Linked DNA regions of Mus musculus. The protein of the gene in region 1 purifies or fractionates together with the protein of each later gene. This does not show direct contact. Links are inferred from orthologs where the notes say so. Each region holds a gene or a part of one and is shown in the gene's direction. Other genes may lie near its edges. The genes, in order: Kcmf1 and Abhd10.

Region 1 (8,954 bases):
AGCCTGGTCTACAAAGTGAGTTCCAGGACAGCCAGGGCTACACAGAGAAACCCTGTCTCGAAAAACCAACCAACCAACCAAACAAACAAAAAAACCCAAACACACAACAAACAAGAAGCTCCTGAATGGAGCTGTCCTGCCCTCTCAGCCTCACTACCTCCCACAATGTCTTGCCTTTGATTATGATCCCACTTCATCTTGGCTCCAAATGACTAATCCATTCGCTTATCACTAGTACATCCTGGTGAAGGAAGGAGGGCCTGTGGTTCCTGCCCCCCTCAATCTACCAAAAAAGATGAAAAACATCACACACCTAGCTTTAACAAGCACAAACTGAGCAGACAGGAAAAGCTTACTAAGTAAGGTACAAGGAATATGGACTTAAACTGGGGCTTGAATTATCTCAACTCCCAATAAACAGAATGGAGAGCAGGTGCAGGGCCCAGAGGCAGGAATCAACATGGGACACGGAGACAAAGGGCCACAGCAGAAAGTCGGGATGGCGGAAAGCACGTCAGGCTGTTAACAGCAGCCCTACCTACAGCTCGCAGGAACTCACCTGGTTTTTTAACTTTCAATTTATGTGCGTATGCCACAGGTGTTTTGGTGCTTCTGGAGCCAGAAGAGGGTGGGTGACAGGTGCCCGGAACGGGAGTTGGAGGCATTTGTGAAGAGCCAGACCTGGGTGCTGTGAGTTGCTCTTGGGTGCTCTTAGCCATGGAGCCATCTCCCCAGACCTTTTGTGAAGAACCAGACCTGGGTGCTGTGAGTTGCTCTTGGGTGCTCTTAGCCATGGAGCCATCTCCCCAGACCTTTTGTGAAGAGCCAGACCTGGGTGCTGTGAGTTGCTCTTGGGTGCTCTTAGCCATGGAGCCATCTCCCCAGACCTTTTGGTGCTTCTTTGTTTGTACCAGTGCAGCTTAGCTGGCTTTGTCCTGACTCCTAAATGCCAGAACAGGCATGTATCACTATGCCTGGCTCTTGCTTGTCTTTTGTTTTTGGAGACAGGGTTTCTCTGTGTAGACCTGGCTGTCCTGGAACACCAGGGCCTTGAACTCTGAGTGAGATGGCCCTGCTGGGATTAAAGGTGTGTGCCACCACCTTGCTTTTTTTTTTTTCAAAGTACTTTTTCCTTATGAGATGGCTGGCTTGGAACTTGTTTTTCTTTAACAAACCAAACCCAGACACCTGAGTTTTATTTACGTGTGTGTGCCTCACATACAAGGGTGCCTGCAGAGGTCAGAAGAGAGCATTGGAACCCATGGAACTGAAGTTATAGGTGTTTGTAGGCCATCTGACTTCTGTGCGCTCAACTGCTGAGTTACCTCTAGTCATACTTTTGTTTGAGGTAAAAATCTCTTATGTAAATCAGGTTGACTCTGTCTTTTGAGTGTTGGGATTACAGCTTGAGCCACTGAGCCCAGACACTATTGATTTTCTTGCTTAAGGACAGGTTCATAGTTCAGAACTCTGACAAGCATACCCAGCAATGTCAAGATTACAAGTACAGTAGAGAATATGATCTCAAAAGTCCTCAGTAGACTATCTAGCTCCCCAAGCCTCACTCTGCTGCATAGGATTGCTCACGTCATTTGTGTCCAGGTGACTTATTTCATGCTTTAACAGGACTGACAGGACTCTTTTTTTTTTTTAAGATTTATTTATTATTATATGTAAGTACACTGTAGCTGTCTTCAGACACTCCAGAAGAGGGCGCCAGATCTTGTTACGGGTGGTTGTGAGCCACCATGTGGTTGCTGGGAATTGAACTCAGGGTTCGGAAGAGCAGTCAGTGCTCTTAACCGCTGAGCCATCTCTCTGGCCCTTCTCTTGGACACTTGCCCTAATCTTTTTTTTTTTTTTTTTTTTTTTTTGTCTTTTTGAGGCAGGGTCTCCCAGTGTAGCTCTGCTGACTGTCCTGGAACACTCCATGGAGACCAGGCTGGGAGCTATGCCTGCCTCTGCATCCCATGTGCTGGAACTAAAGGATGTGTGCCACTACGCCTGGCTCATTTCCCCCTAATCTTAAAACCTTAAAGAAGTACAGAAAAACACAAAAAGGTGCAGCTATTGTCTGCTGATCTACTGATGGTATTTAAATCTCATTAGGATTTATCTGACTGTTGTTTTAAGGACTAGAACTGGGCCATCTATGGAACACAGTAAGTTTGGTAAAGATACCTGTGACTTTCAACTGGACATGGGGGAAACCAAGGAGGCATGGGAAGGAGATCTAGGGCAGGAAGAGCTGGAGATTCACGGCTAAGCTGGGATACTAACAATGAAATCACTGTCAAAAAAACATGGTAGTCCCTTGGAGGTCAGACCAAGCTATGTTTCCTCCCATGAACAAGACTAGCTAACCCTACCGGGCAGTGGTAACACAGGCCTTTAAACCCAGCACTTGGGAGGCAGAGGCAGGTGAAAAAAAAAAAAAAACTAGCTAACCCTTCAATACAGTAAGACTTGTTTTTAATGTTTCTTCCCCTAGCATCATGCCTGTACACAACCCTGAGTGACTTTTCCGTAGACTTGGGACTTGGGGCACACTTCACCTCACAGCTCCAGCCCCTTCTTCCTCCTCAATAGTCTCCTTTCTATTTTCACCCAGTTTTTTCCATACTTACTGGTATTCCTTTCTGGAAGTGTTGCTTTTGTTGGCTACTCTAAATGCTCCAGCATTTTTACAGAACTGCTTACAAACTTTGATACAAATTTATAAAAAACCATTATTCACCACCTGTGTATGCGTTAAGAGCTGCTAGCCTGACTTTCACAGCTCAAGTTCAGGGAACTGGCTTACACCCAGGATCACTTGCCAATAATAAAATGTGTAGGGTTGTCAGAAAGGACCCACTAACCAGGATGTCGATCAGGCTAACTACAAACCCTGCTCTCCCTTTGTAAGCCCTACTAGGCATAGTCTTCCTCAGGCCGGTCTGTAGTGTGCGGAATTCCACACCCGAAACAGAAATATTTGTTATCTAGTCCTCATTTAAACCCAAATTAGGTGGGGGTGTGGTGGAAGATGCCTTTCGTTCCAGCCCCTGGGAGATGGGAAGGTCAGAATCAGCTACTTGAGCAATTCAAGGACTGCCTCGGGCTATCTGAGGTCATGCCTCAAAACCACCCCCAATTTAATTACAGCTAGTTTCTTGGGTAGACAGGGATGACCTACTATGTAGTCTCTCGGATTAAGCCTTTTAGTATTTTCAAAACCAGACATATCTTAAATCATATTCAATAAAATATTGTAACAAATAGGGTCCTTCCTTTGCTACTCTACACGTCGAATCTTGGTACTGTATCTCTCCTGCATCTATTGATATGCTTGCCCTTTTTGAAAGTCACAGAAGCTAAGGCAACCAACGCTTTGTCCAGGTCCCACAGTCGGTGGAGGGTGGGCAAATTAGGAAAATCGCCAAAGCAAGCAGTACCTTGGACCCTAGTTTCAGTAAACTTAGCTGGGAACTTTGTCCAATCTCGAGACTACCAAGGCAAAATTAACCACCCAAAGCGAACCAATTTAGAGCGAAGGCTCAGCAAGGTTAAGTCACTTGTTCAAGGTTACACCGAGCATATCAGAACCAGAATCCCAGGGCTGAACACGTCTTAACTCCAGGGCGCGATCTGTTCTACCTGCGCCACGCCACCACTGACACGTGGTCAGGGGTAGTCTCAAGTGTTTGTCGAGTTAGCAATGCCTGAAGAGAAAGTAGCCTGTAAGGAGCCTGGGTGGAGGGAAAGACCTGCACACACAGCCGGAAGCAAAGTACCCCCGAAGCCCACCAAGTTTTTCCCGCAGCGCATTCGAGCGGGCGGCCGAGCCGGCTCGCTAGGCCTCGGCCTCCCCCTGGGTCTGGGGACCCGCGAGCCCCGGAGGCCCGACTGCCATTCCCTTCTGGGTCCCCGGCTTTCAAAGCAGCACACAAACACACACACGTCCCCGGGACGTCTGCGATGGCCCGGCCGCCGCGCGCCCAGGCGCTGGGGAGCCACGTCGGGGGCGTTTCGCGTCCTCGTCCTCCCCACGCGCAGCGTGGCGGGCCGCGGCTGGGCTCGGGTGCCTGCGGGACCGCGGCAGGACCGCCGCCAAGCACGGTCGCCCGCCGGCCGCGGGGCCTCAGGGCGGCGAGAGGCGGGGCGGGCGTGCGGGCGGAAGGAGGCGGAAGAGGAGGAAGAGGAGGAGGAGGAGGCGGCGGCCGGAGCCGGGAGACGGACGGGCGGGGGGCGGGCCGGGGGAGGGGACGAGCGGGATTTGCGGACGCCGCGCCGCTGCCGGGAGCCGGCGGGGGCCCGAGAGTGACCGAGTCACGGCGGGCGCCGGCGGAGCCGCGGCCGCGTCGGACCCGCCTCCTGGAGGAGCTCAGCCCCGGCCAGGCCCGGCCCCATTCCCGCCCCGCGCCGCCTCCCCGCCGCCGCCGCCGCCGCCGCCGCGGGAGCGCTCCCCTGCCCACCCCGCCCCCGCGGCCGAGCCCGGGAGTCGAGTGGGAGTCGGCCGGCCGGGCGCGGGCAGCGCCGGGAGCCCGCGGTGGGGGCACACTGCAGCCGGGAGCCCGGGAGGGGCCGCGCCGCCAGCGTCTGAACTAGGATGTCCCGACATGAAGGTGAGAGCCGAGCCCCCGCCCCCACCGCTTGGGCCTCGGCCTACCCCGCCCGAAGTCCGGGCGCCGCCGAGGGCAGCGGGGCACCGGCGGGGACGCGGGCCGGGCCCGAGTCGCGGGGCTGGGGAACCCGAGGCCACCGCGGCCCGAAGAGCGAGCGGGAGCGGCGGCCGCAACCGTGGCTTGCGGCCGCGGCCCTGAGCTGGGCCTGGAGCCGGAGGCGGGGCGGCCGGGCGGCCGGAGGCTTTGCACTGTCATGGGGCGGGAGAGGGGGAGGGGAAGCGGCGGGGCCCGTTACCGGCGGGAGCCTGGCCCTCGGGACACATACCGGACGCCGAGGCCCGGCCGGCCCGCCCGGGGGAACCGCGGGGCCCCGGCGCGGCCTAGCTGCGGCGGCTCCCGGAAGAGCCGGGCGCCGTGGCCGAGCCGGGTCTCGGGCGTGCGGCCGCGACAAGGGGGAGCGGGGTCCGGGCCCCGCGGGCGCGTCCGGTCTCTGGGAGACCGCGGGCGAGCGACGGCCCCGCCTGAGGGCCGCGGCCGTGCGGGCGGGAAGACGCCGCGGCTCGGGCTCGGGCAGCCCTCTGTGACTGGAGCTCGCCCGGCCTCGCGGTAGGCCTCTGCGCGTCCCTGGGCTCGGGTAAGCCAAGTTCCCGGGGCGGATCCAGCCCGGCCGCGGTGAGCAAACTCCCTGCTCCGTCACCTCGCCGGAGCGGAACTTGCTCCCGGCCGGTCCCGGGCCCTCACCCGCGTGCGCTGCCCACCGAAGCAGGCTTCCAGTCGGGGGGCGTTTGGACTTCCGCGGTGCCCTGTGGAAACACGCTGGGGTTCTGTGGTTAAGAATCAGACCACTCGCGTCCCAGCCCCACGGCACAAAGGCACAAGTGTTTTCAGGCCGATGGATGGGCGATGAACTGGCGAAAAAATAAGTTAACTTGAATTTACTACCATATGGTTTAGGAAGGGGGGAGGGGGCTATGTTCTCTTTGTTTCACTACAGCAGGTTTTACCTTTAAAAGTAGTCACCGACTTAGTGAAAAGTTTATTTCGGTACGGTTAATGGAAGATTGTATAAGTGACCTGAAAATAATTGAGTCCCTAAGATTTTCCAAATCCTGTATAGGTGTTTTGGAAGTGAAGAAAGTTTGAGGAGGCAGTTTATCGCCGAGGGAAGGGCATTCTTAGGGAAGTACAGACCTTGGCTTTTCTAAGGTGACAAACTCAGATCAATTAACATACATTTAGTGAAAGTTTCGGAATTTGCATTTCTAAAGGCAAGATTGTGATTGACTCTGATCATTTTATGTTTGGAGAGTTTTTATTTAAAAAAAAAAACCTAATGATAGGGAAGAGCATGGGGCATTTTTGATTACTAACTGTTAATGTGTTGGTCACTTTGAAATAAATAGCAGGGTACTTAATTTAGCCTCAGTCAGATGAAAAGAAATATTTGGGAACTCACCTGCTAAACCGTTTTATAAGCTTAATGGGAGTGTGTTCCTTATCACCGCACTTGAAAAAAGTCTTCATTAAGGTTGTAGTCAAATTCCATTTGGAGATGGTGAGGTTAATTTTAGATGGCATCAGTTGGTGTATTGACCACCTTCAAGACAAAGTGAAAGTGAGCATGAAGTTCAGGCTCCAACTCAGGAACCAGATTAAAATAACAGAATAGCAATCGCCTTAAAGAAGCAGACGGAATAGTCTTAATGAGCAGTAGCCTGGAAAAAGTACCCTCAGATGGTGTGTTTGAGTAATTAAAATGGCTTAGGTAGGTATAGCATCCTTCAATAAAATATTGTGTGATCTAAGCTCATCATCATTCCCTCTTTAGTCTTGGAAAGGGTACCTTTTAATTACTTGACATCTTGAAACTTTCCAACACCTTTCTTGGCAATTTAATGCCAGATGTTTCCTAAATGGATGTGTTGAAGGTATTGAGCAATGTTTGACAGGTGATTTTATATTTACATAATACATTAATTAAATTTACTATTTTCTTTCTTTATTTTGACACTGTCTCACTAAGTAGCCCTGGCTGGCCTGGAACTCAAGAGTCCTGCCTGCCTGTGCCTCCCCAAACTGTGACAACAGGGGTGTGCTCTCAGACCTTGAACAGGGTTAGAAAGTTTAAGAGTCTAGGTTTTGGCCTAAGTCAAAAGTTTCAGTAATCACATCTGTTCATGAGATTTGTCAATATTTTGCAGTATATTATTTCAGGCAGTAATTATTTTCATCAGGAGGGATTTGACAATCCCAGATTTTCTGCTTACCTTTCTCTTTGGGCCAGCTAATCCTGTTTACTTCATCTTTGCTTTTGACACAGGATCATGGTGCCCATTCCTGGCTGGTCTGATCTCACTGCACAGGAGAGACTGGCTTCACACTTTCAGCCCTCCCCCAACCCCCCACCCCCCCCCCCCCCCATGTATCCAGTCTTCCTGTATCTGCTTCCCTCCTGAGCCTCTCCTAGCACAACACTTTTTAGTGGTCTGGTTTTTTAGCTCTTTTAATCATCTATCCTCCACATTCTCTGCAGTTGTTTTCCTCGGGAGTCTGACCCAGAACTGGATGTTGGAGTCTAATTCTGGGCAGAGCTGTACAGCCTGTAATGTTCTTGCCTAGGTCTTGCTTTCCAGCCTCATGTGTACAAGTAACTTGTTACTTTGTCTTCTCCCAACTCTAACCAATTGCTCTGTAGTATACAGATGATGTGACTTTGGACCACACAGCCCCAAGATGAACACCTGTCAAGATCAAGCACTGGACTACTCTGAGAAACACCAGTGCAGCCAAGGGCACAGAGAAGGCTCTAGGCCAGGCTTAGCGTACTTTCTCTAAAGTAGAGGGCCAAGCAGAAAACATAGGCTTAGCCAACTATATCTGTCACTACCACAGTTGTCATAGGAAAGCCAGCTAATCAAGTGGTTATGGCTGTGTTCCACTTAAAACTTTTTTTATGGACCCTGATATTTGAATTTCATAAAATTTTCATGTGTCATGAAATATGGTTCCTTGAAATCTTGCCACCACCACCATTTAAAAATGTAAAAGCCATTTTTAGCTGGTGAGGCCCATCAAGAACTGGTGGAGGCCAAAATTGATCCAAGCTCTGTAGTTGTCTGACCTATTGGAGCTGTAGAGCTGGGGGTCCTGCAGCTGGTGGGAGACCAGAAAGGGCCCAGACCCTTGGTGTATCTGTTTCTGCTGGGTCCTGAGCAAGTACAGGGACTGACTGACCAACTCCTGCCCCTTAGGAGCAGAAGGGTTGGTGAATAACACCCACCTTTTCAGGTAGGTGTTAGTGGAGTGGCGGGTCTCCACAACAGTGAAATTCCTGTTGCTATATGACTTGACTGGGGAGAATTCCAAGGCCTCTTTTTCACCTCATTTTGAAATGTTCTTGCCATGTTAGCAAACATTTCTTAGGTACTAGCACCAAGTCACTCTGTGTGGTCAACAGTTGATACTGTCAACAGTATCTAGTTTTCTGTCTTACACCAAACCCAGTCATTTTCTGTTTTCTAGGTTTTTTTTTTAAACTGTCTCTGGCTAGGACTATAGCTCAGTTGTGGAACACATGTGTTGTTCTGCTTGTTATTTTTGAGACAGGGTCATAGGTTTCTGGCTGGTCTTGAAGTTTTTGTGACCAAGAGTGACCTTGAGGTTTTCTTCCTTCAACTTCCCAGCTAACAGGCACGTAGCACCATGTCTGGTTTATGTAGTGTTGGACTTGAACCCAGAGCTTCATACATGCTGGGTAAGCACTTTACAGCCAAGCTGCATCCCTGGCCTTGCAGTACGTGGTTAACCTGCAGCGTAAGCTTTGAGTTTATTTTTCAGCACCAAAGGAAAATAAAAGGAAGCATGTGTGGTGTCACCTAATATTAGTTGTAGCCACTCTTAGAGTAAGACAGGAGGATCCTTTGAACCTAGGAATTCACTGCCATCCTAGTTGTACTTCTCTGTCAAAAGACAGCACTTAAGTTCAAGAAACAGCACTTCAAGTTCATGTCTATGCTGCTAGCACCCTTGTCAGGAGGTTGAAGCAAAATCTTGTACCACAAAAAAAAAAAAAAAATCTTAACATGTTTTGGTAAACAACATATTTAAAATGTATGCGATTCAGAGTTTGAAAATCAGGAAATAACTTTGTAAATAAAAACCTGTCAGATTATGTAGTTCATGAGCTCAGTTATGGGTGTTCTAGTTGGTTACCTGGGTTAACACAGATAGCTTTAAATCCTTGGACTGTTTCCATTACTATGTGAAAGGCACTGCTAGGTACCCAGAATGTAAGGAGACACAGGCTTCAACTCTAAGCCTGGTAGGAAAGCTGTGTCTGTAGACAGT
Region 2 (8,337 bases), on another chromosome or scaffold:
ACAATATATGCATCAGGCTTTCAGCTAATCTATATTATATAAAGATGATTTATAGATTGAAGGTTGGATCTGTTGTTTTATAGCTAACAAACATCACTTCAGAGTAACTGCCTGAAATGAAATTTATTTGTTGGGAGGTAATGTCTGAAAGGGGATAAAAGGATACTTTGAGTATATAATTAAAGAAATGGAAAATGAACATTAATATTGATACAATCTATTGACCAGTAAACTGATCCCCTGTAGCCTTGTTTTAAATCCAGTTTTAAACTTGGCACATTTTTCCAGAGACTAAAACCTTGAATCTGTTTGACACAAACAAGGGATAACTTTAAAGCATTTGATTCTTTGTGTGTGTTTGGGGTCGGGGGTATGGATTGTTGATGTTTGTGAGACAGGGTTTCACTACATAGCCTCTGTCTTTCCTACAACTCATTGTACAAAACAAGGTGACCTGGAAATGGTAGTGGCCCCCCCGCCTGTGGCTCTTGTGTGTGTGGTTATTGGGGTGCACTGTCAGACTCTCTACTCATTATTTTTTTTCTCGAAAATAAACTGGACAGATTAAAAATGGGAAAAAATCTTAGCAGTACACATGGGAGAGACCCAGGCGCTTTCATTAGCAAGATGAAGGGCTAGTAAGACTGCTTAATCTTTTTCTTTTTTAAATAAAGGACTAGCAAAGATGGATCAGCAAAGTAAGCCCTGTAAGGTTCCCCATTTGTCCTGCCATATGTAAATAGTTCTAAGGTATATATGTGTTCCATTTACCAAAAGCCAGCCAACAGAAGTAAACGCACCAGTTAGAGAGCTGTTTGAGAAGTGTATTTCCAAGAATGATACTTGATCCAAACTTATCTTTAAAGGAGCGCGGCCTTCTGAAACTCCACATGCTGGAAATGATGGTGCTTTGTTGCCAGTCGCTTGCCCTTCCTGGGGACGATTGCTCAATGGTGATCTGGTCATAAACAGCGCAGCACTGTGGACATCCTTCCCTCTTGGCTGCCTACGCTGACGACTGATGAGGGTTTTACCTCTGCTTCCCAAAGCCTGGGGTTGCAGGTGCCTAAGACCTTGCCAAAATTATTAGAAATAATTTGGTAAAGAGGAAAGAAAGAAACAAAAACACACATACATTTCTTTTCCCCTACTCATCTGGTCAAAGTAAAAGACATGAAATTCCTGAAACATTGTTAAAACAAGAAAGAAATCTCAGGGGAAAAGCTGAAAGTGATGTATTTAAATCTAAATGTTAATTGCTACTGTTTAGGATAATCCCATGGTGCCAACATGAAGATATTTTTTTGATGAATCTCTGTCTTTTGTTTCACTGAAATTGTTATTTCATTCTGTATTTTGGAAAGTATGATTGGGTAAAAAGGTAAAAATTTTGATGCAACTTTAAAACTTAAAATCTCATACTTGAAGCTTATTTTAATTTTCCTATCAAATGCAGTGGGTTAAAGTTAAAATGTGAAAATATGTGTGATTTTCCAAAAATATTTTTTAAAGTATAATTCACACTTTGTGTACTTTGTTTTAGCTTGCAGACAAAAGGCATCACTTTCTTTCCTTAACCGATCAGAACTTCCAAACCTGGCTTATAAGAGGTTAAAAGGCAAAACCCCAGGAATTATCTTCATCCCTGGCTATCTTTCTAACATGAATGGTATAAAGGCAGTAGCAGTTGAGGAGTTTTGCAAATCTCTAGGTCACGCCTTTATAAGGTAGGAACAATATATTTCAGATAATATATTACCATTTAGTATTGTAATGGAGCCAACTAAAGTCAATGCCAGCATTTTAGTAGATGGAGTTATTTCAATAGTGTGCAGACTTTGGTCTCATGATTTAGGGTCTATAGGGTATTTGTGCTGTGCTGGCTAGATGGGCAGCAGAGGGTGTCATCCGGGGGCTCGTCACTTAGTTGTTTAGATACAATGATCTGTGTGGCAAAGAAAGTATACCTGTTGGGTTTCCTATCATACCTTGTGATTATGGGTTTTGCACTAAAGACATAAAGAACTCATGTGGCCGCTGTTTATTACTCTCTACCACGGGTGTTTGAAGCTGAGAGTATAATATAGCATACCTCAGGGGTAGAGCATTTGTTTAGCACAAAAATCCCGGAATCAGTCCCTAGCACAACCCACAAAAGACAAGGTTTTTCAGTGTAATATAATATTGTAAGATTAATATTGTATAATTTACATTTCCGTTTTCTTTGTTCTTTTTTTATTATCTGACTGTGTGTGGTTATAAACAAGGATATTATATTTGTACCTTTTCACTCATTTTAATAAAAATGTATTGATGTAAAAAATTGGAATCTCTTACCAAGCTGTTTAGCCCATTAGCTGCAGCAGTAAGGTTAGGTTTATCAATACATTTTTTGATATTTTAATTTTAAGATAGTTTAATGGGGAACGCATTGGTGTAAAACTGAAGAAATAGAATTGAAAGAAGACTTCTTTAAGTAACTTATGAAGACATCAGTAATACTCAGTAGACACAGATATGGCAGGAGGGAAGTGGGTGGACAAGATTTACAAATGAACTCTGGGAAAAATAAAGGGCAGTGCTGTCTGTGGAGAGAGACCATTCATAATCTGATTCATATCTGAGGAGAACGTTCACAATCAGAAATACTGCTGCCATTGCTTTTCTTTGTCTGAAAAGTAATCTTAATAAAGAAATGAGCATCTTAGGGCTGGGGAGGCAGTAGTGAGTGAGGCACTTTCTGTGCAAGCGTGAGTGAGGATCAGAGTTCAGCTTTCTGCACCCAGCCCTGTAAAAGCCCAGTGGCTGAAGCTGCCCACCTGTCATCCCAGCATTTGGAAGGCAGAGAGAGGGATCTCTTAGCTGTTTAGCCCATTAGCTGCAGCAGTAAGCCTCAGGCTCAGTGAAAGACTCTACCTCAGTGTATAAGGTAGAGAGTGATCAAGGACAATACTTGATGTCAGCCTCTGGCCCCTACAACCATGTGTACATGTACCTATACCACATACATACATGCACCCCTCACACATGGGAATACATCCACACATATGCCACAACCCACATAAAATAGAACTCAACATTTTACTGAGTTTTGAATTTGATTTGAGACTGAGAGCTATAGCCAGTTCCAGGCATACTGTAGTTTTCTGCATATTGGATGCTATATAAATACACACTTATAAACAATAGCTCTTTTACGACAGATTCTTTAATTAAGTTCTTTTGTGTAGCATTGTAATAGTGGTGAGTGTAGGAACCTTCCGAATTCATTGTATGTCTACATGATTATGTGCTATGTGAGCATGACCATGCATGCATGTGTGCATGTGTTTGGAAGCCAGGAGACAACGCTAGTTGTTATTTTTCAGGAGTCATTCACCTTATTTACAGAGACAGGACTCCTTTCAGTGGTTTGAAGCTTCTCAAGTAGGTTAGTCTTGCTGGCCAAGGAGCCCCTGATCTACCTGTCTCTGCCTGCCCAGCACAGAGACTGCCTCAGGAAAGTTCACAAAATGAAGAGATGTGACTTCAAGAAGGACTAGTGACTGGTTTGGTGGGGAAGGAAGACTTTATTGGCAGTGGAATGGCATCCAAAGTTCATGGTTATAAAGGATCTGGCCAGGAATTAGGAAACAGTTCGGAATGACTTGTGATTTTGATAATCTGTGTCCATGATAGGATACCTCATAATTTATTGAGTTGGGACCTTGAAGTAAAGGTAAAACTCAGAGATTAGACAGATGTTGAGCTTGAATCCCTAGGAAAATTTAGAAGGCGGGGTTCATGGTGAATCTGATATGAATCTTGAGGAGCAGTAAGTGCTATGAAGAAAATACAGCGGGAAGGAGTGCAGAGCTATGGGAGAAGCGCAGTGGTAGCACGGGATGCTCAGAGCCAGCTTGGCATGAGCTGAGGCATCTCTAGTGGAAAGGAGAAGTGTGCTAAGTAGAGGTGAAAGGTCATGGTACAGGAAGGGGTGGTGCATACTGTTTAACTTCAAGCGAGAAAATAACAATAACTGGCGAGGGAAGGAGCTCAGGAAGAGATGAGGTCGGGGAAGCATGCTAAGGGCTTTGAGTTTTAGTAGCTACCCAGCATGCACTGTAGTATTTCATTTGGAAGGATCATTCTGACTACGAGAGAAACTGAGAATACCACTGCATTGGTCGAGTTGAGATAATAACGTGGACTAAGCTAAGCAGCAGTGATGATGGAAGAAAGTGATGGACGTGAGAGGTTCTTGGAAGTTAAGCCAGGAGGATTTACAAAATGCATGTTGACTGATGTTTACTGTAGTTAGGTCACGGCAGTAATGGAAAATGCTCTTCTTTGCTTTAAAGTCAAAAAAGCAAGCCTGGACACATTTCAGACACTGAGGTATAAACATATTTCTTCTTCTTCTTCTTCCAGGTTTGACTACTCAGGGATTGGAAGTTCAGATGGTAACTTAGCAGAGTGCACAGTGGGGAAATGGAGAAAGGATGTCCTTTCCATACTTGATGACGTAGCTGAAGGACCGCAGGTGACCATTTTTGTTAAGTAGACTGATCTTTGACTCAAGTGATATTTATTTTGTCTCTTTAGATATAACAATGGATAATATTTTGTCAATTTTGATAATTTCGATTTTGATGAACAATTTTGATTTAAAATTATTGTATTTTTACTTTCTAATAAGCAATAAGCACTTTAGTTCTCATTGAAAAATAACTTTGCTTTTATAGTTCTATATTATAGACATAATGACCTTACAGAAGTTAATTATATTGGGATACAGGGACAGATGCTGAGTTCAAGATGAACCTAGTCTACAAAAAGAGTTCCAGGACAACACAGTAGAAACCTGACTCAAACAAACAAACAAACAAACAAGTTAGTTTAATTGAATTTTACTTTGTGTTACATATTAAAAGTCTGCAAGGATATAAAAGATACAAAGTGTATATATTTCTATTAAATCATTCTCTTTATAGAGTATGAGAGTCCTCTTTGAAGTCATGCATACTTGTTTTTAGATACTGGTTGGATCCAGTCTTGGTGGATGGCTCATGCTGCATGCTGCAATTGCACGGCCGGAAAAAGTCATAGCTCTTATTGGTATAGCTACTGCTGCAGATGGATTGGTGACACAATATCATGCACTTCCTGTTGAGGTAAGTCATGAGCCATTTGGCCACCCCGGGGAGTACTTCCTATCTTCTGCCTTTTCTCTCTCTCTACTTATTCACCATCTCCCTCTACCTTACTAGAGTGACCTGGCTTTTGTCTTTGCTGCCCTATTGCTTGGTCTCTTGTTTTTTTTTTTTTTGTTTTTTTTTTTTTGTTTTTGGTTTTTCGAGACAGGGTTTCTCTGTGTAGCTCTGGCTGTCCTGGAACTCACTTTGTAGACCAGGCTGGCCTCGAACTCAGAAATCCGCCTGCCTCTGCCTCCCAAGTGCTGGGATTAAAGGCGTGCGCCACCACGCCCGGCTTGCTTGGTCTCTTGTTTTAAGGTTTCCTTTTCTCATTCCTCTTTCTAAAACATCCTGCCAAATGCATGAGACGTGGCACTGAAGTCATGCTTCACAGTGTCCTCTTTTGCTCAGTTTTCTTTATTTCCTTTACCTAATGGAATTCCATGTCACAGTCTACTTTTTTACCCTCTTACTCTCAGTTCGTGGTATGTGAATAGTGCCTGTTCTTACATCATGTGAGACTGGACTAAACAGATGTAAAACTACCTTCTTTAGCCCAAAAACAGACTTATGTTCTCTGGGCAGCAGTTATCAGCTAATTAGAGGCAGCACACCAGGGGTAGAGGGGTTTTTTGTTTTTTTTTTTTTTGTTTTTCTGGCTTTGTTGCTTTGTTAGCATTCTTTTCGAATAATTTTTGTGCTGCATCAAAAGAAAAGCAGGGCTTTTCACCAATGTTCTTCAGCGATTCATGGTAAAAATGAAGGGTCTGAAATAACTGGGAAGGTAGCTGTTCTCTTTAGCTTCAATTGGATATCCGTTTAGGCAGTGTTCTAGTTAGGGTTCCTATTGCTGTGATGGAACACTATCACCAAAGTTGGTGAGGGAAACGGTTTGTCTGGCTTGCACTTCCACATCACAGTCAATCACTGAAGAAAGTCTAGGCAGGACCTCACACTGGGCAGGAGCCTACAGAGGCCATGGAAGGGTACTGCTTACTGACTTGCTCTTCATGGCTCGTTCAATCTGCTTTCCTAGAGAACCCAGGACCACCAGCCCAGGGATGACACCAGCCACAAGGCTCTGGGCCCTCCTAAAAATGATGTCCAGACTTTCTACAGCCCCGTCTTCTAGAAACATTTTCTTTTTTTCAATTTTCTTTATTTTTCTTTTCTTTTCTTTTTTTTTTAAAGATATTTTATTTATTTTATGTATATGAGTACTCTGTACACTGTCACTTTCTTCAGACACACCAGAAAAAGGCCTCAGATCCTGTTACAGATGGTTGTGAGCCACCATGTGGTTACTGAGAATTGAACTCATGACCTCTGGAAGAGCAGTCAATGTTCTTACCTGCTGAGCCATCTCTGGAAACATTTTCTTAATTGAAGTTTTCTTTTCTCACATGACTTTAGATTGTGTCAAATTCACATAAAACTGTCCAACACAGACAGTTATGTGCAAGGACAATGGAATAAGCAACATCTATACTTTTGTGCATTTTTTTACTGCATTCATTTCAGTTTTCCTCACCTGTGGAACTAAGTTCCTGGTAAGCCAGAGACAATAAAAATTAAAAGGGAAAAACATTATTTCAAAATGGGTTCCAGACCCACTATCAATCTTGAATTTCATTCTGAATCAGACATGGGAGATATGCCCAACAAGTTCCTCCCCACAGTAGAGTTTGAGAATCAGGTTTGCAGAGCCCAGGAAGAAAGCAGCAGTGGGGAGGGGAGTCAAGGGGACACAATAAACGTGTATAACTTTGGATAATAGAACATTACTGATTTCTGCTTCAGGTTCTTTAAGATTTCAGCTGTGGAGCATCTGAGTTTGTTCTTAGTTCATGTTGTTCTCAGTGGCATTGCTGGAGATGAGGGGATAGCTCAGTTGTTAAAATGCACGACATACAAGCTTAAGAAACTGAGCTAACCCAGACCCATGCTGTTTTGTTTTGTTTTGTTTGTTTTATTTTGTTGTTTAAAGCTGATAGGCTGGGGAAATGGCAGAAGAGATAAAAAACACTTGCCCCTTGCCTGACAACCTGAGTTCTGTTCTTGGGACTGACATAGAAAACCAACTCACGTGGATAGTGCTCTGGCTTCCACACAAGCACTGTGGCACACACATGCATCCTCACCTTTTCCCCACAAACAAGAGTAATAATGGAAGAGATGATGATGATGATGACGACGACGATAGTAATAATAATAGTAACAATAATAATAAAGCTAGGTATAGTGGTGTGCCCTTGTAATCCCAATACTGATAAGGCAGACAAGTAGATCCTTGGAGCGTCATGTCCAGCCACCATCGAGGACTAGTAAATCCCAGGTTAACGTGAGACCCAGCGTCAGAATAACAGGGTATAGGCAGGTAAAATGGCTGAGATAGAAAAGTTCTTGCTGACAAGCCTGATAGCCTGAATTTGATCCCCAGAACCCATATGGTGGAATGAGAGAACCAACTCCTGATCGCTGAACATATACTGTGTCATGCCCACACAAATAATGCTTAAAATACTTACAAAAACCAAGAGAGATGGGAGGGCTGGAAAAATGGCTCAGCAGTTAAGACCGTTTGTTATGCTGTCGCTGAGGAGTAGAGTTAAGATGCCAGCTCCCATGTAACAAGCCAGGTGTTCCCTCAGACATCTGCAGGCCCAGCTCTAAGGAGGAGGGACGTCACAAAGGCCCAGTGGCTTCTAGTCTAGCTGAGGGAACCACATCAAGTTCAGAGGTGAAACTTTGCTACAAAAGATCTAACTGGAGAATGATAGAGGAAGACCACTGCCCACTCCTCTGGCCTCTGTGCATACTGTTGCACCCACCCCACCCCACCCCCAGATAAGTGTGCATACAGTCATATAGACACATAAGAAACACACAACTTTTTCTTTTTTGGAAAAGCAAATCAACAGTGGACCATGTTCCTGAGGAATGACACCTGAGGTTGTTGTGCTCATGAGAGTCCTGATATTTTTTCCTATCAGACCTAAAATTACAAAGTTGGTCTTCCCTGTACTCATCTCTGATGTCTAGTTTTTTTCCTCAAATATAGTTCTTTGATGTTTGTGTTTTTTCTGCTACTTCTTTGTGCATTTGAAACTTTGACCCTTTGCTTAATCCCCTTGACTCACCAATACAATGGCTTTCATGATAG

The links.
Region 2: the proteins of Kcmf1 (region 1) and Abhd10 purify together in Homo sapiens (affinity purification with mass spectrometry; 3 studies listed by BioGRID and IntAct, counting the BioPlex papers as one, with this or other methods). This does not show direct contact. The link is inferred for Mus musculus from reciprocal best matches to the Homo sapiens genes KCMF1 and ABHD10.

What each region holds. Positions count from the first base shown.
Region 1 is NC_000072.6:72,895,267-72,904,220, reverse strand, and holds the start of Kcmf1 (E3 ubiquitin-protein ligase KCMF1), read left to right. Parts: upstream 1-4,241; 5' UTR 4,242-4,591; coding exon 4,592-4,607; intron 4,608-4,928; exon of another isoform or gene 4,929-5,241; intron 5,242-5,295; exon of another isoform or gene 5,296-8,954. UniProt on the Homo sapiens protein: E3 ubiquitin-protein ligase which accepts ubiquitin from an E2 ubiquitin-conjugating enzyme and then transfers it to targeted substrates, promoting their degradation by the proteasome.
Region 2 is NC_000082.6:45,733,709-45,742,045, reverse strand, and holds part of Abhd10 (mycophenolic acid acyl-glucuronide esterase, mitochondrial isoform 1 precursor), read left to right. Parts: intron 1-1,543; coding exon 1,544-1,727; intron 1,728-4,410; coding exon 4,411-4,522; intron 4,523-5,015; coding exon 5,016-5,153; intron 5,154-8,337. UniProt on the Homo sapiens protein: Acts as an acyl-protein thioesterase that hydrolyzes fatty acids from acylated residues in proteins.